Linked DNA regions of Rhinolophus ferrumequinum. The protein of the gene in region 1 interacts with the protein of each later gene in a biochemical or structural test. Links are inferred from orthologs where the notes say so. Each region holds a gene or a part of one and is shown in the gene's direction. Other genes may lie near its edges. The genes, in order: PLCG1, FGFR1, WAS and PDGFRA.

Evidence for each region.
Region 2: the proteins of PLCG1 (region 1) and FGFR1 form a complex in vitro, tested with the Homo sapiens proteins (4 studies listed by BioGRID and IntAct, with this or other methods). The link is inferred for Rhinolophus ferrumequinum from reciprocal best matches to the Homo sapiens genes PLCG1 and FGFR1.
Region 3: the proteins of PLCG1 (region 1) and WAS form a complex in vitro, tested with the Homo sapiens proteins (2 studies listed by BioGRID). The link is inferred for Rhinolophus ferrumequinum from reciprocal best matches to the Homo sapiens genes PLCG1 and WAS.
Region 4: the proteins of PLCG1 (region 1) and PDGFRA form a complex in vitro, tested with the Homo sapiens proteins (2 studies listed by BioGRID, with this or other methods). The link is inferred for Rhinolophus ferrumequinum from reciprocal best matches to the Homo sapiens genes PLCG1 and PDGFRA.

The regions. Positions count from the first base shown.
Region 1 is NC_046306.1:15,662,947-15,670,451, reverse strand, and holds the start of PLCG1 (1-phosphatidylinositol 4,5-bisphosphate phosphodiesterase gamma-1), read left to right. Parts: upstream 1-4,492; 5' UTR 4,493-4,628; intron 4,629-5,017; 5' UTR 5,018-5,131; coding exon 5,132-5,348; intron 5,349-7,505. UniProt on the Homo sapiens protein: Mediates the production of the second messenger molecules diacylglycerol (DAG) and inositol 1,4,5-trisphosphate (IP3). Plays an important role in the regulation of intracellular signaling cascades.
Region 2 is NC_046287.1:61,188,154-61,195,655, forward strand, and holds the start of FGFR1 (fibroblast growth factor receptor 1), read left to right. Parts: upstream 1-4,484; 5' UTR 4,485-4,623; intron 4,624-4,791; exon of another isoform or gene 4,792-4,931; intron 4,932-7,502. UniProt on the Homo sapiens protein: Tyrosine-protein kinase that acts as a cell-surface receptor for fibroblast growth factors and plays an essential role in the regulation of embryonic development, cell proliferation, differentiation and migration.
Region 3 is NC_046284.1:85,909,923-85,916,945, reverse strand, and holds the start of WAS (actin nucleation-promoting factor WAS), read left to right. Parts: upstream 1-4,015; 5' UTR 4,016-4,221; coding exon 4,222-4,353; intron 4,354-4,716; coding exon 4,717-4,857; intron 4,858-5,842; coding exon 5,843-5,929; intron 5,930-6,031; coding exon 6,032-6,134; intron 6,135-6,245; coding exon 6,246-6,287; intron 6,288-6,380; coding exon 6,381-6,434; intron 6,435-7,023. UniProt on the Homo sapiens protein: Effector protein for Rho-type GTPases that regulates actin filament reorganization via its interaction with the Arp2/3 complex. Important for efficient actin polymerization. Possible regulator of lymphocyte and platelet function.
Region 4 is NC_046288.1:16,595,726-16,602,824, forward strand, and holds the start of PDGFRA (platelet-derived growth factor receptor alpha), read left to right. Parts: upstream 1-4,094; 5' UTR 4,095-4,276; intron 4,277-4,890; exon of another isoform or gene 4,891-5,189; 5' UTR 5,190-5,420; coding exon 5,421-5,450; intron 5,451-6,932; exon of another isoform or gene 6,933-7,099. UniProt on the Homo sapiens protein: Tyrosine-protein kinase that acts as a cell-surface receptor for PDGFA, PDGFB and PDGFC and plays an essential role in the regulation of embryonic development, cell proliferation, survival and chemotaxis.

The DNA.
Region 1 (7,505 bases):
TTTTTTTATAAAAGCTATTTTATTTTCATTAATTAATTAATTAATTTATTTTAAGGAGGGCACAGCTCACAGTGGCCCATGTGAGGATGGAACCAGCAACCTTGGTGTTACTAGCACCACGCTCTAACCAACTGAGCTAACCGGCCTAAACTTTTTTCAACGGATTGAAAAGAATACATTTGTGGTAAGCGTAGTGATGTGCCATCCAGGTTCCCCTTTAAGAAAGCACTTGTTGCCCCACTGCTGGGAAAGCTGTCAGTCCCCCAAGGTCACCTCAGCTGTGGAAAGCCATCTGGCCAAGGCTTGCTTTTCCCAGGACAGTCCACATCCAGTGGCTGATTGACGTGGGCTCCCTGGGGATTGGCCTGTGTCACAGCTTAACTTCCCTCTGTACCTCCTCCTGTTTCCGTCCTCTCCCTTCCAAGGGCACTCCCTAAGAACACATTCTGCACACTAACCTCTGTCAGAGTCTGCTTCCAAAACACCCCCAACCTTTGACAACATTAACCAAATAACTAAAAATAGAAAACATTAAGTAGGGGTATTATGGAAAGGGGTGAGGATACACAATAAAACGTTCATACCTGCATGAGAGGCAACATAGCATTGACTCTGGAGCCAGGGTGCTGAGGTTTGAATCCATCGCTGCTACCTCTTAGCTATATGTCCATGACCATGTCTTAATCTCTTCATGCCTCAGTTTTTCTCCTGTAAAATGGGGATAAGAACAATACTTTGGGCCAGTCCGGTGGCTCAGGTTGTTGGAGCTCTGTACTCCTAATACCTAGGTCGCTGGTTCGATTCCCACAAGGGCCGATTCCCAGCTGCGCCCTCTACAGCTAACATTGTGAATAACAGCTCTCCCTGGAGCTGGACTGCCATGAGCAGCCAGAGGTTGGCAGGAGCTGCTGCGGGCTGCTGTGTGCTGCCGTGGGCTACTGTGTGCTGCCGCAGGCTGCTGTGTGCTGCCAGGAGTGGCCGGTGGCCAGCATGAGTGGCCGGCAGCCATCATGAGCGGCCAGTAGCCATCATGAGCGGCCGGCAACCAGCGCGGGCTGTCATGAGCTGCTGTGAGGAGCCGACCCACGACCGGCAACCGACTGCCTCAGCCCTGGGGGAGCTCATAATACCAGCATGGGCCAGGGAGCTGCATCCTACACAACTAGACTGAGAAACAATGGCTTGAACCGGAGTTGGAGGGTAGGTGGAAGAAGGGGGAAAAGAAAAAAAGAACATACTTTCAGTGCTGTAATGAATAAATGAGCCTATGTGAGTAAAGCAGTTATGTAGGACTTACTTTATGCTAAGTGCTGTTCTAAGTGTTTGGTAAATAAACACCTGTGACGTCAGGCCCACAGGACCGGAGGGGCAACTGGGCTGGGACTCCTCCCCAGACTCCAGGCACAAGTATTAGGGTAGACCGGGCATGTGGAAGCATGAGTGTTGCTAGAAATAGGCCCAGGCAAGACTAGCCTGGGTGATGTCACAGACATGTGCCTTGTGTGGGTGCTGGGCTGCTCCCTCCTAGCCAGTGCAGCTGTACGCATTGCCAGTGACACCCACATACCCATATATATGCTGAGATGGGGGAAGCCCATCCCAGTCACGCCCTCTGTGTGCCCTGCTTTTCCTGAACATCCTTTGGTGGAGGGAGGCACCTGAGTCCTGGGATGCTGGCTCAGAAATCCCAGGAGGAAATGGGGCCCTGTTTCCTAATGAAGGGCCTGGCAGCAGACTGAAAATATGAGCTCGTGTTGGCAAGGATTTCTGGAGCTCCTGGGGGCCCAGCCTGAGAATCAAAAACGCAAGCAAAAGCAAGGAAGCATGGGCTGCATGTTGGGAAGCTCTCAGAAAATAGCAAAACAGATTTTAAAAGTGCATCACAGCCCGCAGGCTGCCCAAGTTGGCACAAGAAGCTCAAGGAAGGCTATAGGAGTTGGGAGGGGCCCTCCTAGAAAAATGGACAAGATCAGAAAGGCAGGGAGGAGCCCCATTCAGGCCCCACCGGTCTTCCTGGCCTCATTACCCCACATGTTCCACTGCACTAGATAAACGCTAGCCTTCTTTCTATTCCTAAACTCGCGAAGCTCTTTCCAGCCTCAGGGCCTTTGTACGTGCTGTTACCTCTGTCTGGAAAGCACTTTCCTTTCCTTCAACCCACCCTTAATAATTCACCTGGCCATCTACTCACATCCTTTAGGCCTCTGTTGAGTCTTAAAGAGGTCTTCCTTGTCTACTAGATCTGAAGTAGGGCTCTCTAATGTTTTATCTCATAGCCCTCAGTTCTTTCCCTCTGTAGACCTCATCACAATTGTGCCTACATAAGAGAGTGTTTATCTGTTTAATGTCTGTGAATTCTTGGAGGGCCGGTGCAGGGTTTCTCTTGTTCTTCCAAACCATGGCACCAATGCCTAGCACAGGGAAGCTCAGGAGCTGTAGACAGAGGCAGCACCATTTTAAGCCCAAGCCACACTTTATGAGCGTTTGTGTTTTCTGAGTTCCCTGTGCTCAGGGCCACGCATGCCCAAGTCTTCCCCTCACCCATCCCAATTAGCCTCCATGCCCACTGACTGTTGTCCTACTTAAGGCAGTGGCTCTCTTGTGAGGCAGAAAATGCATGGAGTCAGACAGACTTGGGTTCAAATCCCCACTTTTTAGTTTTGTGACCTTGGGGCAAGTTATAGAACTTCTCTGAATCTGAGTTTCCTCGTAAGTAAATTAGGGAAAATAATCCCTGATTAGAAGGTAATTATGAGGATCAGGTGTGACCACATATGTAAGCATTGTATCTCTGGGCAAGTCATTAGATCAACTTTAGTTCCCTTCCATTTTAAAAGCCTGTCACTAGGTGGCAGTCCATCTCAGCCACTCCACCTCCGCTCAGGTGGCTGAAGCCTCCTAGGACAGGCGACTCAACTTCAGGCTGAATTCTCAGCTTCTTAGGGGCTGCACTTGAGAGGGAATCAAAACACACACAAAACACACACCACTACCGCAAGAGGCAGCCCCAGACACTAGTCACCACCCAGCTGGGTGGGTTGCCTGAGCACAAATTCCAGGAAGCCTGGATCTGTCTCTGGCATCAGCTGGGTGCTCCACTGGGCCTCTCACCTCTGAATTGCAGTAAGTTGCCCTGCTCTGCCTTGCTCGATATCTGTCTGACCGGTTCCACTGTGACCACAGGTGTCTTCGGTGTTGGCGGTTCTTTGTGACAGGCAGCTAGATTGCAGGGATGAGTCTAGAGAATGGCTTCAGGAAGGCAAAAGAGTGTGCATTATTCACATACCGGCATATCTCAGAGATATTACAGGTTCAGTTCCAGATCACCATAATAAAGCTCGTATTGTGATAAAGGGAGCTGTAATCTTTTTGCAAGTGGGGGGTCTTGCCTTCAGTTTGTTAAAGACAACACCTGTGAAGCCCAACAAATGAGGCACACTAAAACAGTCAGCCTGTAACCACAAAAAGGCTTTGTGGCTGGAGAATGGGGCGTGAAGGGGAGGTGGTGAGAGATGAAGTAGAAGAGAAAGGGGCCAGACCATACGGGACCTGTTGGGCCAGGTAGGGAGTGTGGATTTTATGTGCAATGGAAAATCATGGAGGCTTTGAGGCTGGAGGTAGGGGACCATGATGTAATTTAATTTTAAAGATTAAAGCATGGAGAATAGATGCAGGCAAGAGCAAGGAGGGTAAATAGTCTGAGTGAGAAAAGATGGGCCTTGGGCTTGTGGATGGAGTGGCGATATCTGAGGGCAGAGTGAACTGGATCTGATGGATTACTGTGTGTGTGGGATTGAGGCAGAGAGGAATCAAGAATATCTCCAAGGGTTTTGGCCCAAGCACCTTAGCATTTAGTGCCATGTTCTGAGAAAGTGAAGACGGTGGGAAGAGCAGTTTGAGGAAGAAGTGAAATGCCTGTGTTAAGTGTGGACGCGGAGTATGGAGAGAGTATGGACGGGATGCAGGAGAGAGACAGATTTGACGTTGCGGGTGCCTGGGTTGGGGGTGACAGGTCGCCTTGGGAACTGGCTCAGGACCCAGCAGAGAGGAAGAGAAGCTTCTGAGGCCTAAAGGCAGCAGCCAGAGAGGGAGGAGGGAAACAAGAGGAGTCGGGCTGTGAAAACCAAAGCTCAGGAGAGCATTTACAGGAGGGTCACCATGAGGTAGGACCTGAGACCACCTCCTGCCTTGTGGACACGGAGTGTGAGCTGAGGTGACAGAGACAAAGGCCACTGGGAGCTGTAGGTCTAAAGGCCCTGCAGGAGATGCTCAGATCTGGTGGGCTTCTCCAAGTTACAGGGCCCTCGAAGGCTACACTGGCCGCAGGAGCAGGACAGAGGTGGGTCTGCGGCCTGCGGGCCAGCCCTGCGCGGCCAGAGAGGAGGGGCGGGCTAGATCGTCTGTCCATCAGAGACCGCAGGCCAATCCGCAGACGGCCCCGCCCCCGCCCCTCCCCGGAGAGGGCGCGCAGAAGACCCGCCGCCGCCGCCGGTGTGAGGCGGCCCGGCCTGGCTCCCTCCGCCGGGCAGCCCGCCCAGGTAACTGGGTTTGGCTGGCGGGCCCGAGGGACGCTCCGCGCCCTCACCTCCCTACCCGGTTGCTGCGCGGGCGGTGCTCGGGGAGTAGGGGTGAGGAAAAAGCTACGACTGGGCCTGAGCGGGACAGTGGGCTGGGCGGCCGCCTGTGCGTGTGCGACTCACTGCGGGGCCGCCGAGCGGCTACCGCGCGTGACGGGGTCGACTGTGGCCACGCAGCTGTGTACGGGGTCGCGTGAGGAAGCTCTGCGGGACGGAGGAGTGGGGGCTTGACCGCGAGCGGCACGCGCGCTCCCGCCGCCATTGCGCCCCCGCCCGGGGCCTCGCCGGGGGTCGCGGGGCGCAGGCGCGGAGGGCGGCAGGCGGGGGTCCTCCCCACGGGCGCGCGGGCGTCTTTGTTCCCGGCGCGCGGACCGGGGCGGGGCCTGCAGGGCCGCCCCGCCCCCCGCTCAGGCCCCGCCCCGCCCCGTCTCCGCCCGCAGGAGCCGCCGCCGGGGCCCGCTCGCCGGCAGCCTCAGCCGCCGCCGCTGCCGCCTGCTCCCACCAGCCGGGCCTGCATCGCTGTCGTAGCCTCTACCGCCCCCAGGACCGGAGCCATGGCAGGCGCTGCGTCCCCCTGCGCCAATGGCTGCGGGCCCGGCGCGCCCTCGGACGCCGAGGTGCTGCACCTTTGCCGCAGCCTCGAGGTGGGCACCGTCATGACTTTGTTCTACTCCAAGAAGTCGCAGCGGCCGGAGCGGAAGACCTTCCAGGTCAAGCTGGAGACTCGGCAGATCACGTGGAGCCGCGGCGCCGACAAGATCGAGGGGGCCAGTAAGTGCGACCCCTCCCCGGGGCCCGCTGCGCGCGCGGGGGCGGCAGAGATCCGCGCCCGCCTCCCGCGCGCCCGCGGCCGCCGAGCGACTTGGACAAACTTTCCGTCCCTCCCCACACCCTCCGGACCCCGCCCCCGCCTCGGTCCCGGTGGTCACCAGGGGCGGGGGGCATCCGGGTCCTCAGTCACCTGACAGGACACCCCCTCCCCCAGCTGGGGGGAGTGTTCTGGCGCTTTGCCCAGAGGCCTAAAAATTCTAGTGAGTTGGAGACCAGCGGGGCAGGCATCGGGTCTCCCACACACCGGGAGTGGTGTCCACAGAGGCGAGGGGAGGCAAGGCGGCGCCCCCCATCCAGCCCCTGAACCTGGGGTGAGACCAGATGGTCGCCGCTCACCACCTTTTCTCCAAAAAGAGCAGTCTTGGTGAAACTCTTTGGGCCCCTAGGCTGGGCTTTTATTTGCAAAAGAACCTTTGGGTTCTTTGAGTAGAACTTAGGCAGATGTTGGAGTAGGGCTGGTTTTGGAGCCGAGCCGGGCCTACTCATCTCCCTCTTGGGGAGGAGGAAGGTGGTCTTGTTTGGTTTGGAAAAGCCTGAGAGAAGGCAGTGGCTGCTTTTTCCTACTGCTGCTTTTGTCCTGAAGCTGAATATTGGAGGTCTGTGTGGGTGAGCAGACACCCAAAGCCAGGGCAGGGACTCTTGGTAAAGATCCAGGCTCCCCTTTCCCTTGGAAGCTCAGTCTCAACTACTTGACCCCAGAAAGGCCAGCCTCAGTGCCTTGGAGTCAGATACTCTTTTCATGAGCGGGCAGCCAGTTTGGGGTCTAGCCCTTTATGTCCTGTGGCTGTAGGGAGCCAGGAGCTACTACTCTTGATTTCTTACCTTTGTGCTCTCCCGGGCCTGAGCATGGCAGCTTTTGTGCAGGTCTGAGTTGGGAGGAGGGAGTTGGGGATTTTTAAAAAAACCCAGATCTCTCAGTGTTATTCCACTTAGCACATGCCTGTGCTGTGGCCGGATGGGCACCCAGCTCTGCCCTGCGTTCCCCCCCCCCCCCCCCCCCCCCCCCCCCCCGCCTCCAAGTGTGAGAGATGATGTGTCACAACCCCAGGCTGTGGGTTGCTTCCTGCAAGGACCGCCCCCCCCACCCCCTCCAGAGACAGGTGTCAGAGCCAGGCTCAGAACTCGGTCCATGTATAGGAGGGTGGTCGGGAACTGACACCCCCAAGGGAAGGTCCTACAGACTTCCTTGAACATGCTGTATATGCATGTAGATGGGTGAGGAGATTGGGAGGAAGGAAGGCCTTGTGGTAAGGCAGCCATCCTCAACTGCAAACTCCAGATCTGACACAGCTGCTGACCTTAGAAATGGCAGCTGTCTTCCTCCATCTCCATGCCCCCATTGGCCCTGTCAGCCATTGCGAGAAAATGTTAGTGATTTGAGAGACTGGATTTCAAAGTGGAGGAAGTACAGACACTGCAGAAAGCTGAGATAGTCTTGGGAACGTCACCCACATATCAGAGTCCAGACACAGCCCCTCTCTTGCTTCTGTGGTGATCCCTATGCTGTGCCTAAATGGGGTCCCTGGCTGGAGGTTCCCAGATAGAGAGCTCCTGGGTAACAACAGGCTGCATTTCAAACCACGCATGTAACCAGCAGGTAATAAGTGCAGCCCAGGGGTTGAAGGCAAGGCTCGATTTGAGGCCTGTATATTAGTTGTGTGTCCCCAGTCAGTTCCTTATCTTCTCCTGTCCTTACTTTTCATCTGTAAAGTAGGAATAATAACATATCCGCTATATGTGGTTGCTCAGGGGAGTAAATGAGAAAATTGATGTGAAAACATCTAGCACAGTGCCTGACACATGATCAATGCTTAGTAAATGTGAGCTGTTGTTAATAATGACAATAACAGATTATGACTGCCCTGCTAGACCCTGGACTGTGAATATTGTGCAGGGGGAGTGTGGGTGTAGGAGAGTCTGAGAGTGCAGGAAGGGAGGAGGATGGCAACTGAGTTCACATTTCACTTAGATCACTACCCGGAAAAGGGTAGGAAAGGGGGTTTTTTTGCCCCAACCCATCTACCTACCCACCCACCTACCATGTAGAATAGTGTGTAGAGTAAATATATGGAGATTTGCACATCTGACACCTGATTT
Region 2 (7,502 bases), on another chromosome or scaffold:
AGCAACAATGGCTACCATTTATTGAGCACTTACTATGTGAGTCTGTTCCTTCAGAACAAAAGACTACAGAAGCTTCAACACCCCCACATCTACTCTTAGTCTGTCTTCCTCGATTATCCCAGATGAGTGCGTGGATTGTCACGTGCTGTTTGTCATCTTTAAAGATTCAGGCATCCCTTCCCCTGAGTTGTCTCCTTTCCTGATCTCTCCTCCCCAAACACCCTGCAAGTGTCCCTGGTGTGGCATGATTTGCAATGTTTCATCTCTCCCGAGGATGTGCCCTTGTCTCTTTCATCTGAGATCCACTATGCCTAGCACAGTGCCTGACACATGAGTGGAATGTGTCACCCTCCTCCCCAATGCTCAGTGAATGAATGTTGCATTAGGGCCAGACAAGCTTAGCTGCCACTGCTGCCGAGCTCCCTTTCCCACTCCCAGTTGGTAGGACAGAGTGAAATGTTATTTACAAAAACACCAAGCCAAACAAGATCCTCCCTTCCCTGATACGCTGAAACTGTGCTGAGAACAGCCAGGGGTCACCAAATGGCAGCCAGATGGTAACTGACTGCTGCTACTTAACTCCAGGGGCCCTGGGGCAAAAGGCTTGGCTGCCCACCTGTTCCTAGGGACCTGTGAACATCCACTTTGTAAGGGAAAAACCCAGACGGTTCCCTCCTCCTGAATCCCTTCCTGCAACCAGGCCTCAAAAACTGAGCCCCTGCCGGTTCCCACCAGTCTCAGGGACTCCCGAAGCCCGAAGCCAGCCTGAGCAGCTCTATGGCCCAGCCTCGCCCCAGGGTAGATGTCGCTTGCCTCCTGCCACTTCTGTAACAGGCAGGTGTTAACTGTGTAGTACCAACCCAGTGTAGGGGGTGGGAACCGCAGGGCCCTGAAATAGCTAAACTCAGTTGGAGCAGGGGAACACTAGGAGAGGAGGAGCTCCCTTCTCTGTGGAAGAACTCTGAGGACACAAATAGCTGAAGGAAAAGGGAAAAGTTTTTGTGCAGTGTTCCCAAACAAAGAGAACTGATCGGGCTTTGGGGAGAGCTCTGTTTACTCTGTTTCATTCAGCACCGGTCCCCTCCTTCCACAGATCTGGGAGGCAACAGGTTCCCAACTAGTTATCAGGTCCTCCAGCGTGAGGGCCTTTGTCTCCCCCTCAGACGTCTAGCTGGCAGGGCAAGGGGCCTACAAATCCTCCCTGACCCTCCCAGCTCTTTGTTATCTCAGAGGGAAGATTACGTTTCTGTGTGGGGAGGCAAGGTGCCAGGAGGCCTCAGAGCAGGACAGAGGCAGGCAGAGAGCGATTGTCTGACCTCCTTTGCCTGGAGCTGGTCAGGGCCACCCTGGGGATACTCTCTCTCCACTGGCCTAGAGCCTATCCCGAAGTGAAGGGTCTGCATTTCAGAAAGAGGAGGGGGAGGAGCAGCATGGAAGGAGAGCAGACCGGAAGGATAAAAGCAGGGCAGCTCTCAATTATTCAGGAGCCGTGCCTGTGGTCTGTGTGAATGGCCCATACGTTCTCAGGGTTTCTCACCTTTTCCATTCCACTGTCTTTGGGTGTTTCCCTGAGAGCTGGGGGAGGGAGAGCTATCAAGCTGGACACTTGCTTTCATTTCGGTTTCTTGCTAATCTGTAGAGAAATTTGTTCAGCATCGGATCTAGGCTACTTAACATCAAACAGACAAGCATTTAGATCATTCTCTTTCTGTTTAAATCAAGGGCACATTCTTCAGCCTCCTCTTTTGTATTCAAGATACTCCTAAAATGCTTCCAAATCAAAAGAAAAAGGGCTAGATTAAAAACCCCTGGTTTATGGGGTGGCCAGTTAGCTCAGTTGGTTAGAGAGTGGTGCTGATAACATCAACATTGCCAGTTCGATCCCCGCATGGGCCACTGTGAGCTTCGCCCTCCTTAAAAAACAAAAACAAAAACAAAACCCTGGCTTAGAAGAATCTTAGAGAGGAATGGTGATATAATGTCTTTTAGTAATAAAGTAGGAAAATAGTGGTTGGGTATTAACATAAATGCTGGGTTTTCCATAGCTTGTGTGCCCAACTCATATTCCCTTAAATTGTATTTCCTCCTCTGGTCACCATGAAGTCTGCCAACAACAAAAATATATAAAACGCCTCCTGAGTAGTCCTGAGCTAGGTCACATACAGAGATGGAATCTTTGCCCTGATACAGTTTAGGAGCTAGTTAGAGAGAAAGAGTAAAAAAGACAACTAACAAAGTTATGTTAAGTATCATACCAGACGGTCAGTAGGGGTTCCAAGGATCAACATGGCTGGGATTGGCAGGGAAGGCCTCTCCAAGGGAGAGGGGCTTGAGTTTTGCCTTCTTAAAGGCCTGGAATGAGAATTATTTAAAATGAAGAAGGCTGCATGGGTGGGCAGCCTATATGGGAGGATTTAAAAAGAGCCTGATAAGGGGTGGCTGGATGGTTCAGTTGGTTAGAACATGAGCTCTCAACAACACGGGTTCCCGTTCAATTCCTCCATGGGACGATGGGCTATGCCCCTGCAACTAAAGATTGACAAAAACGGTGACTGGACTTGGAGCTGAGCTGTGCCCTCCACAACTAGATTGAAGGACAATGACTTGGAGCTGATGTGCCCTGGAGAAACAACACTGTTCCCCAATAAAATTTATTTTAAAAAAAGAGCCTGATGAGGAACTGAAGGGTGGAAGGGTGGGGAGATAGCTTATAGCCTATAAACAATGGCAGAAGTTCATGTAGTCCACAAATATGTGAGTTCCTGCTTTTTATTTAGTTTTAAATTTATTTACTTTTTCAATAAATATTTACTGAATATTTACTCTTTGGTCAGTCAAATAACATTTACTGAGCTCCTACTATGTGAATGACACTGTGTTGGTGACAGTAAGGGAGTCCCAATCAACTGGGGATAATATGTAAATAAGTCTTGATGTCTTTGCAGATGCATGCCTGGTCCAAAATTAAACAGCCCATAAGTAGGGGACAGAATGAAGGTATCTTTCATACCTAATGTGACATATTTCTCACCCTACCGGTGTTCTCCAATCTGGCACCATGGGATCTGTAGAAAAAATACAAACTCTTTGCTCCTTCCTGGGACGACCTAATTCCTCAAGTCTGAGCAGGTGCAACAATTTGTATTTTTCCAAAGTTCCCCAGAGGACTCATGCCCATTTGGATTAGGGAACCATTAAATTCTACCACTCTGTGGAAGGATCCAAAGGAAAGGGCATTTTAGCCACTTTCCCTCCGGTTCCATAGAGTACTGGAGTGTACTCTGGGTGGTCTCTGATTCATTTTCAAACCAACACCACCCCTCAACTCCCCCCACTCACTCTTTGCTTCAGAAACATTCATGGCAGCCTGGAGACTTCTGGAGGCCAAGAATGGCGCTGTAGAATTGACAGGACCTAGCTTCCCATGGACCACAAAACCTAAACTATGTGGCTGGGGAAAGTGGGATGGAAGGAAAGGATCTGAGGTGGGGACCCTTTTATTCTCATGAATAAAAATAGCTTGCATTATTGAGTATGCCAGGCCCTCGTCTAGTCCATTTAATCCTCAACTCTATAGGGAAAGTACTATTATCCCCCTTTGACAGATGAGAAAACTGAGATGTAGAGCAAGAAAATCACTTCCCTCAGGCATACAGTTAGTCAGACTTCAAAGCTCTCGCCTCCACGTAGAACCTCAGGGCGACAGCGTCTTCTCACCTCACCCCCAATACTGCTCATCTGCCCAGGGCCTGCATTTGGGCGCCCTCCAGGCGATGCTCAGATGGGGGCGGGGGACACGCCCTCAGATGCAGTCCAGGCTGCAAGCGAAGAGCAGCAGAGTGCCAGGTAGCTCAGCCCGCTCCCCGCTTCTCGGGGGCCAAGGCTCAGGAACTACAAGGCCAGCAGGCAGCTGCATGGGGAGGAGGAGGAGGTGGGACTAGCGCGGGGTGGGAGTGGGAGAGGGAGCCCTCGCGCCTCGCCGGCGCACAAGCGCTCGGAGCGCTCCTGCGGGCACTGGTGTGACGGCTAGCAGCGGGCGGCAGCGAGCGGGAGCCGAACTCCGGTCCAGCCGCAGCGCGCGGAGGAGCCCGGGCTGTGCCCGGAGCTGGGCGGCAACGTCCGGACAGGACCGAGACTCTGCTTAGCGCATTGCGGCGACCTCGCCTTCCCCCGCCGCGATCGCTCGCCACAGCTGGAGAAGCAGAGGAGACCGCGGACTTTTCTCCGGTCCGAGGGGCGCTCCGCAGGGCGCGCGGTACCAGGACTGCAGTCGGGCACGCCGCGGCGCCGGGGCCGCCGCAGGGCGATGGAGCCCGGGCTGCGAGAAGCGTGAGGCGCCCGCCGCCGGATCTGGAGAGGGGGGGCCACAGGGTCTGGAGACCCGGGCGGTGGACGGGAGCCCTCCCCCCCGCCCCGCCTCTGGGGCACCAGCTTCGGCTCCATTGTTCCCGCCCGGACTGAAGGCGCCGGGCGCCGAGCGCCCCCGGGAGTCGAGGGCCGGCCGCGGGGCTCTCGCGGCCCCGCCAGGAGCCCGGCGGCGGGGGCCGGAGTCGGGAACGCGGGCGCCTGCCCGCACTAGCCACCGCTGGACTCTCCACAGGCGGAACCGCAGCGCCCAGTGAGGTAAGAGCCGCGGCGCCCCCAGATCCGGGGCGGACTTGGCGTCCCGAGCGGCCCCCGGCGCTGGAGCCTCCTGGCTGCGCGCTTACCCCGCCGCAGCCGGGTCGGGACGGCGCCTCCCTCCGCCGGTTACCCGCCCCCCTCCATCTTCCAACTCCCTCCCCAGCGCTCTGCGCCCCCCTTTTGTCTCCCCTCCCTCCGCTCGCATCGCCTTCTGCGCCCCCTGCCCGCGCTCGTCCCGCCGCTCTCCTGCCGACCAACTTTTCCGCCAACTCGCGCTGGGGAGCTGGCGAGGCGGCGGCGACTCCGTGGTGAGTCCGGGGAGGGACATGGCCGGGGCGAAGGCGGCGGCGGCCCTCGGTGTCCTAATACTGGGGAGGAGGGCGGGAGTGGGCAGCGAGCTGGGGTGTGTGTGTGTGTTGCGTTACACTCCATCTCTTTTTAGTCCACTCGCAGGGATTCACCCCAATTCAGCAGGTAGCTTTGGGTGGAACGCTGAAAATCCGGGGTACTTCTAAGTCTTTTTCCACCTGAGGAAAGTCTGGGGTCGTGTTGAGGGTGGGTTGGGGCATGAAGAGGGAAGGGAGTGGAGGGGTAGGTTAGCTTCTCTCGGAATAGGTTTTAACTCGTATGTCGTCACCAAATGGCTGAATCCGCTTTAGATGAGAGCGAGAAAGGAATTCCCATTTCCAGAGGGGGCTTATCTTCTTAGTTCATCTCCGAAAGGGTTGGAAGTTTGGAGATGGTGAGGGCGCCCAGTGGGTGATGTTAAGGCCCGCGAAGGGGTCGGGGGAGGGGAACGTTCAGTTTCAGTCTTTTTCTAGGAGGTGGGGGAAGGGATGGAGGGTTTTGTCCGGTGCGGTGTACTCGGCAGCGATGCATGTTGCTTCTCTGGCCCAGACCCCTCTGCCTCTCGCCCCCTCCTTCCGTCATGTTTGAGGTTGGGAGAAGAGGGGCTAGAGCACTCATTTGCGGAGAAATTTATTGACGTTGTAGATGGAGTTCATTTAACACGTAGCCTGTGAAGGCAGCCCAGACACCTTTGGTGGTGGTGGTGGTGGTGGTATACGTGTATGTGTGTGGGGAGGGTGAATCCTCCTTCTTTCTGGGCCCAGAAGCTATTAGCCTATTTAAAAATTTCTGCGGTGTCTTTCTCCCCCAACACGTCCCCCACCCCCCATTTTCCACACGTAGCATCCGCATCTGGTTCCGTTTCACCCCACACGGGTACACCGCAGCCACGTTATTAACATCATTCTTCCTCCCTTCCCCCTTCCCCAAATTAAAACTGGACTTCTTCAACTTGTCCTTTCCATCTCCTTAAAATTTCTGACGATTTGGAGATGTGGAGTTGGGATTTGTGGAGAAAAAAGTTACCCTGGATCGCAAGTTATTTAGAATCTCGTGGTGGTGGTGCTTTCTCGATTGTGTGGAAGGTTTTAGGGGGTGGCACTTGTGAACGGTTCATCTGCAGGAGGTGGATTTTTTGGTCAAGGGTCTGACCCAGAACTGGCCCTGACGGAAGTTTCTGGAATCCAAGTATTGCTTCTTCTCCCTTCAGTTGTAGTTGGAGCCCTGGAAAAGTCTGACCCTGTCCAGAGCCAGCCGTCGGGTCTCGGGCAGTCCGGCGGTGGCGTTGCGCGTCCCTGTTCCACCCTCCCAGGAGCCAGCCCCCGGCGCAGCGGCCGGGGACGGGGCGGGGGCGGGGGGCGAGGGCTGTGGCTGCCAGAGGCGCTCCTTGTGCGTTTTTAAGGAGTTAAATGGGCTGCAGCCCCCGGAAACTAAAGTGAGACATTTTACCATTTAAATAACGGCGACAGTTTTGAAAGCGGGGGTTGGATTGTTGAGGGTTTTTTGTATGTGTGTGTGTTGTTTTTTTTTTTTTTGGAATGTCCTTTGAGGTAGGAGAGCACCTTGTGGTCCAAAGTCGCGGGAGGGTGGGGAGAGTTGGTCTCTCTCACCCTCTCCTTTCCAGTCTCTTTCAAATTGAAAACACTTCTCTGGTTTCCTCTTTTGGGCGGTAGTTTTGGAGGCTGTAATGAAATCGCACTTTCTCTAGACATGGTAATTAAGGTGACTGTTTCCTCCGCAGATGTGCCCTGCCCTTTGCACCTCCGGACCAGAGCTTTTTTTGGAATACCATCTAAATTGTAGAACCTTAGCCTTGAGACTGTTTAGCAGAAAGTGGCCATTTTCCCCCGTTGGCCCAGGCTCCCTGAGGCTTGTTGAAAAGCTAAGTAGCAGAGCCTCGTGGGACGTGCCTCGGTCTGGCTAATTACCTCGAAGCCTGGGTCATCTCCTTTCCCTTCAGTGACCGAGGGCAAGAGGGAGAGCCATTGCCGACCGTCTGCCCTGTTGGCCTGCTTCCCTAATGACTTGTTTACATATTTGCCCCACTTGATTGGGAGAAGCTCCAGGGCTGCCGCTGACCTGGGTGGAGCGCCGTGTGTTTGGGGACAGGGAGGCTGCTCCGGCCTGGCTCCAGTTGGGATGGTTGTGTACTGCATCAGTGACGAGCTTCTTGAAATATCTGTTGCCTTACTCTTAGTCATAGCTGAGTGTCAGCTTTTTAATAAGGGCCATCCATCCGGATGGATAGCCACTTGGACATGGGTGCTTTCACGTCCTGCTTTTATCATGCTTGTGGAAATGCCCATCTTGGAGGCATTTTCACAAATGGGATTTGGGCCAGAGTGGGCGCTACTTCCTTTAGTTCTCAAGCAGACAGTCTTGGGTGCTTCTTTATCTTGGCCTTTGGCCATGGAGGATGTTAGAAAGTTCCGTTATGCACCCTTAGAAGAATAGCACGTGAAGCAAAAGCACTGGTAGAAAGAAGGAACCTCTCAGATGCTATTGTCCCATCCCTCCTGAGGGAGAGGATT
Region 3 (7,023 bases), on another chromosome or scaffold:
CAAGTAACTTAGCTATTTCATAAAAACAACAATACATAATTAGCATGTTAAGCTCTGTCCTGATCACTGTACATTAGTTATCTCGTTTAGTCAACAACCTTAACTGCTATTACTGTCTTCACTTTATGGAGGAGAGAACTGAGGCACTGAGAGGTTACCAGACTAAGTAGTTGGTAAGTGCCAGATCCAGGCTATAGGGCTCCAGAATCTGTGGTTCTAACCACTGAACCTTTCTTATTTCTACAGGTGTCTCTGCTTTTCTGTGCTTACCTTGTCCTCACTCCACCCCCACCAGGACTAGAAATCAGCTGTGGGGACAGAGTCCCAGAGAGCAGTTTCCTGGCTCTTGGCCTCACATGGAAAGGTGCTGGCTCGAGTAGTAGATGGCCATCAGCTGTAACCATTGAGCCATTGGCCACTGATATAACTGCAATGGCTGAGCTAGCAAGCGCGGATTGCAGTTAGCAAGTGGGGTTGGAGGGCAGAGAAGTGGACGGCAGGTTGTGGATCGTGTGGCACCTGCTTCCTGTGTCTCCAACCCAGCCACCAGCGAGACTATAGTGGTATGACTCCCCTATCTGTGGCTCCGTGGGTGTTCCTTTTTGGGCTCACCTTGTCCTGCATTCTTATGTGGGGAGCAGCACCAGAGACCCCGCATGACACCCCGCGTGACATCAGCCCCTTCCCTGACGGTTCCTAAAGCACCCATTTGCCCTTAGCATCAGTAAACAATGTAAACATCTCTGTGGGAGGGGCTGGCCCCTGCACACTCTGGAGTTGAGTTGTTTTTCTTTCCCCTTCCCCTAGGCATGGGGGTGAAGAGATGACAGAGGGGCCTTGTGGGAAGAGGACAGTAAATTGAAGCATAGAAATCTAGACTGTACAATGATTATTCAACAAATGCTGGTTGAGCTTCTGAATGCAGGGTCCTGTGCTAGGGTGGTGGGGATATGCCAATGAAGAAGACAGACAAGGGTCCTGATCCTTCCTGCTCTGGGGGCGTGTTTTGGGAATGCCTGGTAGGCAGACTTTGGTTGTCAGAGTAATGGGAGTGCCTCAGCATTGAATGGGCAGGGGCCCGAAATACTGGGGGACAGCTCCACACCACCAAGACTTGTAACACCCATGAATGTATGTCATTCCAGGATGGTAAAAGGAGGCCTGCCCAAAGGTTTCTTATTAAAAGGGAGCATTGGGTTGGAGAGTTGAGAACTTCTGTTTCCTTAGGGTGGGATTGTCCCCAGGAAGGAGCCCTCATGGACATGGAGGACTGTGAGGGGCTGGAAGGTAAGGGGAGGAGAAGGATGATGTGGCAATGGGAATTCTGCCATCTTGATGTCAGTTTGGTCTTAGCAACCTCCCAATGCCTATGTCTCCTCCAGGGACTCAGTTACACAGTGGTGATTCAGTTATGAGAGACACCCCCTCTGTCTTCTTACCTACTTAGGACTTGAGGCTCGATCTTGTAGGCAATATCCTCTCAAAATAAAGCAAAAGAAGCACAGGATATAAACAAGAAGTGACTCTCCATCTGGTAACCCCTGGGGGGATTGGCAGAGGGAGGTGGTGAGGGAACATTAGGTGAACGTAAGTTATTGGGCACATCCTAGTTCTTGGGGGTTCCTGGGCATTCACTGGATTGCTAAGAAGTAAGGTAGAACTTCGGCTCCCAGCTGTGGTGGAGTAAATTGTATTCGACCCACTCTCCAGCTGAGAGCAGCCAGAAAGGTTGGACTAATGTATTGTTCTTTTTAAATCTATTTGAAGGTCCAGGAGAGCAAGTAACCTTTGAAGTCATCACCTCCCCAAATACTGTCATTCAGTGCAGAAAAACAAGAGTAGATGGGGACACATAACAATAAAATAAACCAACTCCAAATTATTAATGCAGATCAACAGAGTAATTCAATAATCTGAACATGATAAATGGTATTAAGATGATTAATCACCCTTTTAAGATGGAGAAACTCATTCTATTGAGTTTATTTCAGGGACTGAAATAAAAATCTACTTTAGCTTTTTTATTTAGAGAAAAATTTTAAACCTGTCTGCCACTTAGAAGTAAGAACAGAAAATATAAAACTTTTAAATGTTAATTTAAACAGCAACCAGCAAATGTAGCAGAGGTTTAAGGCCCCCTGATGGCGACTTAAAAGGGACAGAGGTAGGGTCAGAGAGAGAAGGAGTAGGGAGGAAGAGCACAAAAGACAGAAAAGGAACAGAAGAATTTTATATTGGCCCCCATGTGGCACTTCACAGTTTTGGAGCTCACATAACTGGCCTCTGATCCGTCCGTCACAAGCTGTGTGATCTTAAGTGAGCTAAGCTTCTGTGGGCCTCAGCTTCCCTACCAGTAAAATGGGGGTGACAGTAGTGCTTCGTGTCGTCTGTGAATGTGAAATGAGTTAATACATGAAAGGCATTTAGAAAAAGCTCAGAAAACACTTAACCAGTTAGACATTAATCCCTCATTCATTCCTTTACTTACTGTCTAGTTTGTGCCAGATACTGGGTATACGCTTGGCACTTAGAGCTCAATGAGTAGTGTTAAAATGAATGAATGCAGTGGCATTTTAAGGAAAAGCAGGGGCTTGCCCTAATGGACAAGCTGGAAGGTGCCTCAGGCCTGGAGGAAGGAAATCACCTGATGAGTTGGTGGCACCATAAACTAAATTGTGAGGGGGGAGAGGAGGGAAGTTGGCTTGAATTGCTACACAAGAAGGGACTTTGAACCTAGGCTTAGGAGAGAAGCTTTGAACTTGGGGGCATGGGGAGCCCAGCAGGTTTCCAGGCAGGACTGTGTGTCCCACCTTGAGATGTGCTGTTGACCTTCAGGTACCCAGGAATGGCAGTCACACCCCAGACCGGCTCAGCTCCCCCAAACTGCTCTATGTGTGCCTGAGAGCTTTGCGTCCCCCCGCCCCCCCCATGGAAGACTGAGGCCCAGGGAGGAGTGGGAATAAGCTAGCATTCACTCGGGGACAGTCTGGCATTTTCTGGTACATGTAGAGACATGCAAACCCTCCAGCCCCCTGACTCCCCTCCTGAGAGGGGATGCCTGCGTGACCAAGAAATGTGTACAGGAGGGAACACAGCAGTGTTGCTCCCAACAGCAAAAGCCAGAAACAGCCTAAATATCTGTTAACAGGAGAATGCGGATAAAAAAAGTTGTACAGTCACCCAATAGAATACTATATAGCAGTTCATATACTAAAAAATGAATAACTGCTACAGGCAAACACGAATCTTAGTAACAGACAGAAGGTGTGGAGCATAGTGATGAAAAGTGTGCCCTCTGGACCCAGCCTGCCTGGCATGCAATCTGGGCTCTCCCACTTGCTGGCTGGGGGCTACTGGGAAAATCACTTAACCACTCTGCCTCAGTTCTCTCATTTTCCTCTGTCAAATGGACACGGTAATAGTGTGTGTCGCACAGGCTGTTAAGAGGATTCAAATGAGTATTTACAAAGGGGTCAGAACAGTGCCTGGCATACATTCAGTACTACATGAATGTTGGATAGATAAAAATAAAATATTGAGTGGAGAGAAAGCAAATCTCTGAAGATTACATACTTCAAAAGTTCAAAAGCACTGAAAATGAAGTAAGATATTTAGGCATTCATATATCCTATAAAATTCCTTTCTTCAAAAAGGGGTGATATGTAGAAAGTAATTTGGGAGCTGCAGGGAGGCAGGGGTAAGGGGTGGGGAAGTGAGCTGCGTTGTTGGATGTCTCAGGAGAGGGATGGGATCCCAGGTGCTCACTGTGTAATTAAAGGAAATGTTTTAGCACAGTAATTCTTCAGCACTAGGGGCCTTGAACCCTAGGCCCAGGCTAACTGGGTGCTGTGGGGAGGAAGGAGGCTGCCCAGCCCCATGACTGTTCCCCACCGCTGCAGCATGCCTTGCGGAAGTGCTGTAGTGGCCTAGCTCTTGCTGTCAGCCAATCAGAGGGAGATGGGCCCCAGAGAGTAAAAAAGAAGGAGGAAGACATGAACTGGTCCAAAAGATGAGTTTAACCAGTCAAGTGGAGGAGGGCCCCAATCTGGTAGAGGGTCCAAGCTTGTTCTAGGGTGGAGGAGGCCAGGCCCACCGAGGGGCCCCTGGAGGACTTGTTTCCCTTGTGGTTTTTTGTACTTCCTGTTCCCTGCTCACTGCGGAAGTTCCTCTTCTTACCCTGCATTCAGAGCCTAGCTGGAGAGGACAAGGGCAGGAGGCACCATGAGTGGGGGCCCTGCAGGAGGCAAGCCTGGGGGCCGTGGATCGTCGGCGGTTCAGCAGAACATACCCTCCACCCTCCTCCGTGACCATGAGAACCAGCGACTCTTCGAGATGCTCGGACGGAAATGCTGGGTGAGCTGGGGATCACCTAGCCCTCCCTGTCTCTCTCCCTTTCCTCCTCTTCCTCCTCATCTTTCCCATCCTCCCCATCTCCGCCTTTCCTCCCTTTCCTCTCACCTTATCTTCCCCATTCTTCCCCTCTCCTCCCCTTTCTTCCCCTCTTCTCCTCCTTTCCTTCTCCATCATCTCCTCTCCTAGAATCCATTTATCCCCATTCACCAATCCCGGAGAGATCTCCATGTCTGTTCACTTTCTCTCTGGTTGTGGCCCTTCCTTGGGGGCTATGACAGCCGTGGGTAAGGAAGGACCAGGTCTGGCTCCGACCCTCTGGTTGCCCCTGACCAAACTGCACTGAACTCCGCTCTCCCTTCCCAGACGCTGGCCACTGCGGTTGTTCAGCTGTACCTGGCGCTGCCCCGTGGAGCTGAGCGCTGGACCAAGGAACATTGTGGGGCTGTGTGCTTCGTGAAGGATAACCCCCAGAAGTCATACTTCATCCGCCTTTACGGCCTTCAGGTGATCCCCATTCCTCACTGGACAAGCAAACCAGTTTTCAACCCACAAACAAGATCTGGGTCCATAGCCCTGAACCCTTGGACAGATCAGTGAACCCCTGGACCCCAGAACCAAAGACTTCATCCAGATGTCAGACTCTGGTTTGCCTTTCTAAGTCTGCGATGATTGACTCCAGAGTCTCTATGTCACCATATATACCTCATCACGTATTAGCATACCTCCTAAGTCTAATCTGTTCCACAAACTCCCCCCAAAAATGAGAACTATAGTTTTACCTGCACCTTAAATCTGCTCTAGAGCCACATTTTGGGTCTCAGGAATCCCCCATCAAAACTTCTGGACCTCAGATGTTTGCCCAGCTCCTAAGTCATAAATCTATTCCACAAATCCCCAACCTGAATATGCCGTTGGGTCGAACTCCAAATCTGTCCTTTTAAACCCACAGCCTGGACCTCAGCATTCCTGAATCTGTTCCACAAACCCCCAACCTGAACTCCCCAGACACATACCTCCCATTCATCCTTCTAAACCCATAAAGATGAACTCAGCATGACCACATCAAGATCCCAGGACCATCAAATACCAAAATCCTAAGCCATAAAACTCCGCTCCACAAACCTCAACCCCAACTCCAAATACTGGAGCCCTGCCTGCCCAAATGAAGGCCCCCATCGTGGGGGTATGGGATGGAGTCTAGAATGGGCTCAGTTTCCTAAGACGGGAGCCCCAAATCCTCAAATCCAAGCCCCCAAGTTCCACAGCTAGGATCCCAAACCCCAAATTCAAAGATCTCACTGCAATGTGTAACTCCCATACTGTACCCCAATCCTCCACATCTGACCCCTAGACCCCCAACTCTTCTGATGCCGAATTGGAAACCTCCAAATCAGATCCTGGGGCCCCAAATTTGGACACATGTTCCCTGCCCAGATAACAGAGACCTGCCCTACATGTCTCAGTGCCAGTGTGTTCCCCACCTCTCCAGGCAGGCCAGCTGCTCTGGGAACAGGAGCTGTACTCACAGCTGGTCTACTCCACTCCCACCCCCTTCTTCCACACCTTCGCTGGAGACGTAAGTGACCACCCAACCCCTGGGCCTCAGTTGGGCTGTGGGGAGGAGATGGGAAAGGTGGGGGATGGGCCTGGGAGGCTGTTGACCCCAAGGTGTACGCAGGACTGCCAAGCGGGGCTGAACTTTGCAGACGAGGGTGAGGCCCAGGCCTTCCAGGCCCTGGTACAGGAGAAGATACAAAAAAGGAATCAGAGGCAAAGTGGAGGTAAGGAGGCCTTGGAGGAGGAAAGGGGGTTGGGCAGAAGTGAATGCAAGAGTGGGGAGCTGGAAAAGCCCCCTCATGGTTCTGGTTCCCAGTTCACCTGTCTCTCCACAGACAGACGCCAGCTACCCCCACCACCAGCACCAGCCAGTGAAGGTGAGTCCTCTAGTGCAAGTAGGGGTAATAGCCGGCTAGCCCAGGAACCCGTGGCAGGGTTGTGATAGCTCTCTGTCCATTCCATCTTCCCAGAAAGAAGAGGAGGGCTCCCACCCCTGCCCCTCCACCCAGGTGGAGACCAAGGGGGTGAGTGCTGATTCTTCCATGTCCCTGGGTGAACGGGTGGGTTAGGGTGTGGATGAATGAGTAATTTGGTGGGTGCAGAGATAAGTGGGTGAATGGGTGGGTAGAAGGGTGGATGGATTGGTGGTGGGTAGATGGTCGAGTGGGGGGACGCACTGATGGGAGGATGAAAATATAGATAGATATATAGATGTATAGGTGGGTGTATAAATGCATAGGTGAATTGGTGTGTGGCTAAGTGGATGAATGGATAGATGACTCAGTAAATTAACGAATGAGTGAGTGAGTGATTGAATGAACCGAACAGTAAATAATTGAATAAGTGAAATAAAATTTCAATCAGTGAAAGAAGCAATGATTGAATGAATGAAAGAAGGAAGGAACGAGTGAGTGAGTGAATGAATAATTTAATAAATTAGTCAGTGAGCCAGTGAATGAATGAGTCAATACTTAAGTGATAAGCATAAGTGAATGAATAAATAAATGAATCAGTGAACGTATGAATGGTGTGTGGGACCCACCCACCCACTTTTCCATAAACCCTCCTTGGACCCCCTCACCCACTCCCTCCATGATCATCAAACACACACCG
Region 4 (7,099 bases), on another chromosome or scaffold:
CCTAAACAGAGCCAGCCCTCCTTCTCCTCCCAAGCCACAGCTGTGTGTTGGAAAGCTGGATGGCTGAGGCCCCTAATAGAGAGCAGACCTCCCAATCTCTTCAGTCCCTCCTCTTCCCCTTACAGGGGTTTTCAAATTAAAAGTAACTAAAAGCTAAGGCCGAAAGAGAGGCAGAGGGGAGTAGGAGACACAAAAATATTGAGGAAGTGGGGCTCTCTCCTGGGAAAATGGTATCAAAACTCCAGATGCACACCCACCTCTTTCCCACCTCTGAGGAGTGCAGGCCCACCTGGGCTCACTATCTCTGGTCCTCACTGAGGTCACTAAGCAGGCAGGGGTGTTAGGAACCCTAGGAGAGGGTTCGGCTGCTCCCCAGCCGCAGGGAATTGCTTTCTACTCCCTGGAGACACATCTCTAGAGCGAGAGCCCCCAGGAACCCTGAAGAGACGCCACGCCCTTAGATCCAACCAGCAAACGGAAGAAGAGGAGGTGAGTGAGCCCTAGGGAGAGAACTGTCACCCAAAGTTACACACGCCAGTGGGGACACTTTTGGAGAAATCTTCGAACTCCTTGTCCACAACTTGGGGATCCCTGAATTCTGAGCGTACAGAGGTTCGGAGCGAGCTTTCAAGCCTCAGCTGGTTCAGACCCGAGGCAAAGGCGGAGGCCTCGCCGGGCTCCCCTGGGAGACCCACATCTATGTGTCACATCCACAAGCCTCTTCCGAGTCTTCCCCACGAAAGTGCCTTCCCTGGGCCCGGGGAGGCGGCTCGCAATCAAGAATTGAAGGGTGTGGGGGAAGGGGCAGTTAGCGCCGTTTTCTTTGGCAAACCACCAAACGGCCCTTCGTCTTCAAATCAGGAAGCTAGAACTCTGCCCCTACCCCGTCAAAAAAATCACGTTTGTTTACATGTGATTTTCACAACCAACGGCTTCGATAACTGCTACAGGTCTTCTAAGGCAAAAGACCTTCTGAATTCTCCGAGGGAAGTAGAATTGGGGGGTGGAGCTGACAGCAAAGGAGGAGTAGAGAAGAAACAAAAAGCCAACTCACTGGGAAACGCCCACCAAAGCCGTAGGTGTGACGCCCAGAGCTGCCGCCCGGGTTACCGAGGGGCGGGGGCCGAAAGAGCAAGTCTGGGAGGCAGGGCTGGGGGAGATTGTTTTTGTTTTCAGTGACCATTTTGATTTGGTTGTAAAAAGTTTGTGGGGCCTTTTTTTTTTTTTGATGGCTGGCTCCACTACATCTCTTTATACCCTCGCAGCCAATTTCATGTTGCCTGCGGGCCTAGACGCGCGAAGCCGCACCAGCACCGCCGCTTGCCCCCGACGTCCCAGCCCAGCTGAGCTCCGGAGTTGGGCCTCCTCCTTTCTAGAGGGTCGCAGCAGCTCAGGCTCCCGTTTTGGGGAGAAAACCCTCATTCTTAACCCCATGATGTTCCCTTAAGGAAAACACACAAGAGGTTGAAAACCAAAATCCTGGTGCGAACTGGGACCTTCTCCCAGCTGCCCAGTCGGGCGAAGGTCACTCCTCGGGGAGCACAGGTGGGCCTGGTCCCCCCTGGTGGCCTGGGCAGAAGCCGAGGAAGAGGAGAAAAGACCCCGCAGACCGTCTTGGCCCGGCGCCGCTTCTTGCCCGCTGCGGCTCCAGGACCACCCAGGACCCCGGGCGACAGGGGAGCAATCTGGAAGGATCTTAGAACAACACGAGCAGAACGCGGCCTGGCCGGCCCCACCTTCCCCCGACGCCCCGGCAGTCTGCCGCGCGCAGACCCGACCTCTCCCCAAGTCTCCAAGCAGCGGCGGAGGGCGGGTGGCAAAATTCAAACTCGCCTATTAGCAATGGGAGGGGCGGGCGGCTGGGGGCTGCGGGCAGGACTCGTTTTCAGGAAAGAACCGCCTCTCTCCGTGGGCCTCCAGCCCCGAGGTTGCTCCTGACCACTGGGTTTATTTTGCTTCGGCAGGGAAGGCAGATGTTGACCTCTTCTCCATCTTTGCTCGCCCCAGACTCGGCGAAATCCTCCCCCAACCATTTGTTTCCCTGCGCCACCCCCCGCCAGAGCGCTGTCCGGGGAGTCGGCTCCCCAAGCCTTTAAACCTTCTGGAATGTCACACATGGAAACCTTTAGCAAATGTTTGTTAATGATCATAACAAAGGCATCATTCAAATTAGGCAGGTAATTACTACCAGAAGGACAACTGGGTGCTCACTTGCTCATCCATTCGCTGGGCTTTAAACTCGCGAGGAGTTACGGCCCGAAGACACCCCCGCCCAGCCCCCTTTTCAGGCCCCCTTAAGAGTCTCTGAAAGGAACTGTGAAGTTACTATTTGTGCGCGGGGAGGGCTGGGGTCCTGCTTGCAGGAGACCCTGTTGAGACCGGGTTAGCACTTTCCCGGTAGCAGAGCAGGCCTTCCTGGGTAGCTCCTTGCCTCGCCTCCTACCCTCTTGGGTATTTGGTATAAAAACCTAGATATCAACTTGTCTTTATCAATCGCATGAAAGCCAGTACCCGCTTTTTCCTATTTTTCCGCACTCTGATATTTTTGGGGTCGTTGGTTCTCGTTCGTTATCTACAAACATTACGGTATCCTGTTAGCATTCCGAACAAGGGACTGTTCATATATTTGCCTTCAATGATTTCCTGAAAGAACATGTGGAAGTAATAGTGAGCAGTGCAGTCACCCAAACTGAAGATGCACGAGAGGCCGGCGCTCAGAGGGGCTGGGAAATAAGGCCCCTAGCTCAGCCGCAGGCGTCTTCCCGATCCTGACACCCCAGGAGCCCGTCCCAGTTAAGCACAGCAACCCTTGCAGTACTTCTCGGTGACCCTCCCCTGCCAGCTGTCCCGTGTCCACCCTCCTGATGAAGGAGAAAGGTGATGGCAGTCCGACGTTTCTGTCTCAACCTGGCCGCCCAGGCCATTCTGAAGAATGTGTGTGGTGGGTGGGTGCAAAGGATGACCACCTCCCCCCCTACACCCAACAAGAGAATTCAAAATTAGAGAAGGCGAAGAGATGAATGCGCTCCCCTCCCCCGCCCTCTCTCGAAAGCTCCACTCCGCCCAGGGCTGGTTCCTAGAGCGTCAGCGCCCCCTTTCCTTAGCGAGCAGGATCGTTCTCACCCCGCACTCTTGCCTGGTGCCTTGGGAATAGGGTTTGGGGCTCCGCTCTCAACCCCAGGGCATTGGAAGGGTCTGACCCACGCGGCGGGAAGGCGCTCGGATGATGGTCAAAATGCACCCTTCCCCTGAACGCGGAGGTGGAGGGCTTGTCATAGGTGATTCTCCAAACGCCCAAGCCTAAACCTTTTTGTGTACGTGATAGAAGCCAGGGCAACCTCGCCCAGATAACCCCGAAAACAAAGGCAAGACAAGATAAGTGGCTCCAAGGGAGTAAAGGTCGTTCTGTCCGAGAACGTTCCTAACGTCTAAATCGAGCAGACGCTCGATTCTTTGTACCCTTGTTCAAACCCATTTTCAAAAACAAAGCAAAACAAAAAGCCAGCATCATCATATCGGACTCAACAGTTTGTCTAATCCCATTAAAAGATTAGCAACTACCTGGCCCTTTCCCTAAAAGACCCGAGGTTCAAAACGACGCAACCGCTAGGAGACCTCTGCCGAGGGCCCTATATCTAGCTCGGCTTGGAATTTCTACAGAAGAGACACTTTTCGATTTCAGATTTATATTCTCTCTGGGCATTAAATGCAAGTTTACGTGTTCTTTTTCTTCCTTTCGAAGAGAATACTAAGCAATATAGCAGAGTAGGGAAATACCCCCAAATCAGGAGGCAAACTCATTCTAGAAATGATGGGCAGTTTGTATTTTCCTGAACCTCTCTCCCAGCTAAGCATCAACACCTCCCCCTTCCACCACCCCCACCCCATCTGGTCTACTTCTCCCCGCCCCCCTCCCCAGTTGTCGAAGTCTGGGGGTTGGGGCTGGACCCCCTGATTGCATAAGAGCGAAACGCGAAGGCGCAATCTGAAGGCTGGGAGATTTCAGAGCGCACAGTTCGAGGAAACTTTTATTTTGAAGAGGCCCGGGGGGGGGCTTCATTTCCTGACAGCTATTTACTTAGAGCAAATGATTAGTTTTAGAAGGATGGACTATAACATTGAATCAATTACAAAACGCGGTTTTTGAGCCCATTACAGTTGGAACTAGAGAGAGAGAGAAACAGAGGAGGGAACTACAGGGGAGGACTGGAGGCCGTGGACACAATTTTTACTGCATATGTAGGATTTTCATTGCGAATTGACATAGGAAGAGAAGGTAAGGGAGAAGGAAAAAAATGATTTTTGTTTCTAAGAGAAGTCCCTGTCAGGCCCTTTGGGTTAGAAGTGAAGTAGCTTCACTCAAACTTTGGGCGATGAGAAAACAAAACAAAACAAAATTGGAATTGAATTCCAGTCGTGTGTCCAGATAATAACTTATTTTGAATAAACTTCACTTGGAGGGAAGATAGCCATAGAGTTCGAAAGTCTAGGGATTAAAAAAAACCCCACATTTTCCAGATCTATTTTTAAAAGCAGTGTTTTTCTAACAACTCTATGGCCTCCCAAAGAAATTGTTTAGGCTTACATTTTTGAGGTTTCTTTTGGGGTTGGGGGTGGTACTAGTAGTGTATACTGGGACAAGCACCAAAGTAGTGCTGAGAGTGGGGGCAGAGGTGTTTGCCTTCTTTTTGGCAGTGGGTCCTGGAAGGCGACAGGTTTTTAATGAGTATTTTCATTTCTCGCTCGCGGTTTGGCGGGACAACGCTGCAAGCCGGTGGCGTGGAGTGCGGCTGGAGCATCGGGGGAGGAGAGTGAGAAGAGCGCCGAGTGGGGCGCAGGAGGGGTTGCAGGGAGGGGAGGAGTGAAGGGTTCGGCTGGAGGAGGCCGGACCTTGGGTGCCCACTGGGTGCACACAGCGCCGGCTCTGGGCGCGTAATTACTGGACGGCTCCGCGCCGGGTGCGAGCCGGGGCCAGACTCAGGTCTACCGTGGCGGCTCCAAGGCGAGCAGAGGGGGCGCGGGTTTGGGGAGCTCCCCAGCGGTTTGTGGGATTAGTGAAGTGCGAGGGAGAACGGGCGCCAGTCCCGCAGTGCGCTCGGGTTGCGCGCCCTAGCGCGGGGGCGACGGCGGCGCGGGCGGGCGGGCAGGCCGTCTGGAGTAATGACAAACACATTTGGCCCCGAGTGAAGAAGTCGTCGTCGCCTCGCATTCCAGCAACCCGGATTTGAGGAATTTAGAACTGCGCTCCAAGGGGCCCTCATTGTGCGCTATACTCCCCACCCCCACCCGTAGCTGTGCGCCCCCTTCCTCCGTGGACTGGTTCTTGCAAAGCCCGGGGCTCTGCTGCCCAGTCCCGGCGCTGAAAGGAAAGAAGGAAGGTCGCCAGGAAAAGCGCTGAACTTCTTGTGGGGAAGTGAGGGATGACTCGGAACGGAGAAACTTGGTTCCAGGTAAGACAAGCGGGAGGCCAACCACTCTCACTGCCTCCTTCCGGGCCCCTGAGCCCAAGACCTCCCTTGCATGCCCCTTTACGACCTGGGATGCGTGGCACTCGCCCCCTGCACTAGTCCTGCGCTGCTTCATCCTCTCCAGTGACTCCAGTCTCTATTCCGCTCCCTGCGCCGGCCTCTCTGCCCCCTGCAGAGCGGTCTCCTAGAGCCCCTCCTTCCTCCGAGGTCTATCTCCAAGGAAATCGGCTTTTACCCGTGAGATTAACTTCTCCCCGGAGCGCAAAAGGAGCGGGCGGCGCCCACTTGGCGCGGAAACAACTGGGATCAGCGGTTCTTTTAGGAAAGGGTGGTCGCGGCCAGCTCAGAGCGAGAGGGAACGCGGCCAGATCTGAGTACGGCTGCCGGAGGGGGCCAGGAATCCCGGCAACCTGGCCAGGTGTGCAGGAGCTGCCAGTGGCCTGGCCAAACGTCTTGGCCGAGAAGGAAGTGCTGGGCTGTCTATCCCCTGTCCGTTTCTCCCGCAGCCAGAGCGCGGGTCCCGTACTTTGCTCTCCTACCCTGCTAAGACCTCAGGATGTACAGAAAGTGCCTGGAAGAACGTGCTACTCGTCTGCGTGAGAGGCAAACAAGGGTTGGAGACAGAGGGTGGATGGCCATTATCAGGTCCCGTTTGCCCCGCGACTGGCTGAGCTGCCTGGAAAAGCCCGGGGCTGGGCGGTGTGGGAAATGGTTTTTTGGCTCTGCAGCCGAATTGCTCAACCTTTGGACCGTCTCGCCTCGCCATACTCGCTCCCAACCAGAGCTAGGCAGCTTTTTAGAACAGGGAGAGGCATCCAGGGCAAACAGGCAAGACAGTCGCCCAGCTCCGCGCACTAACACCTCAGAGCCCAGTGGGCCCAGGGCTGCTGGAGCGGAGGAAGTGGGCGCCCCGGGCCGGCGCACCTCCTCTGCTGCCGCGCTGGCTGTGGTTTTTTACAACAACCCCCCACCCCGCCATCTGACCCACCCGCATTCTGGTGCTGCTGCTGCATCCCTTCCCTCTTTCTCTCTCCCCTCGCTCCCCCACCCCCTGGCTTCCTCTTTTCCTCGGTCCTCACGATAAAGGGGGCCCTTCCTCTGCTCCCCGATAGGCGAGGGCACGACCAGTCTCACTTTGACGCCCTCTCTGCTTCGGGGCTGTTGCGTAGTCTTGCTTTTGGTTTGGCTCAATGTAGCTGGACTCCAGGGTTGGAGTCCTAAGAGCGGGGTTGCGGGGGAGACAGAAGGAGGTGAGGCTGAGACCCGTAGCTGACTCCCGGCCCTTGCACAAGCCTTAGACCGAGGAGGACCCGAAAGAGAGCCCCGGCTCCCCGCTTTCCGCCCCAGGTCCACTTTCCTCCCAGGGCGCGGGCTGGGGAGGGGTGAGGGGGAGGGGCATCAGGCAGGGCTTTCCAGCTGCAAAAGTGTCTGGCGCCGAGGCAGGCCCATTTTGTGCCTCCTGGGGACGGGCCGTGGGCGGCGCGCAGCGCTGGGACGCGTCCTGGGGACGTGGTGGCCAGCGCTTTTCCCGCAAACCCCAGCGGGTGGGACTCCCTCTGGCCTCCGTGGAGCCGCGACAAGGTTACACGCCGCTGATGGAAACGTGACAATTCTGGGCAAAGAGCTAAAAT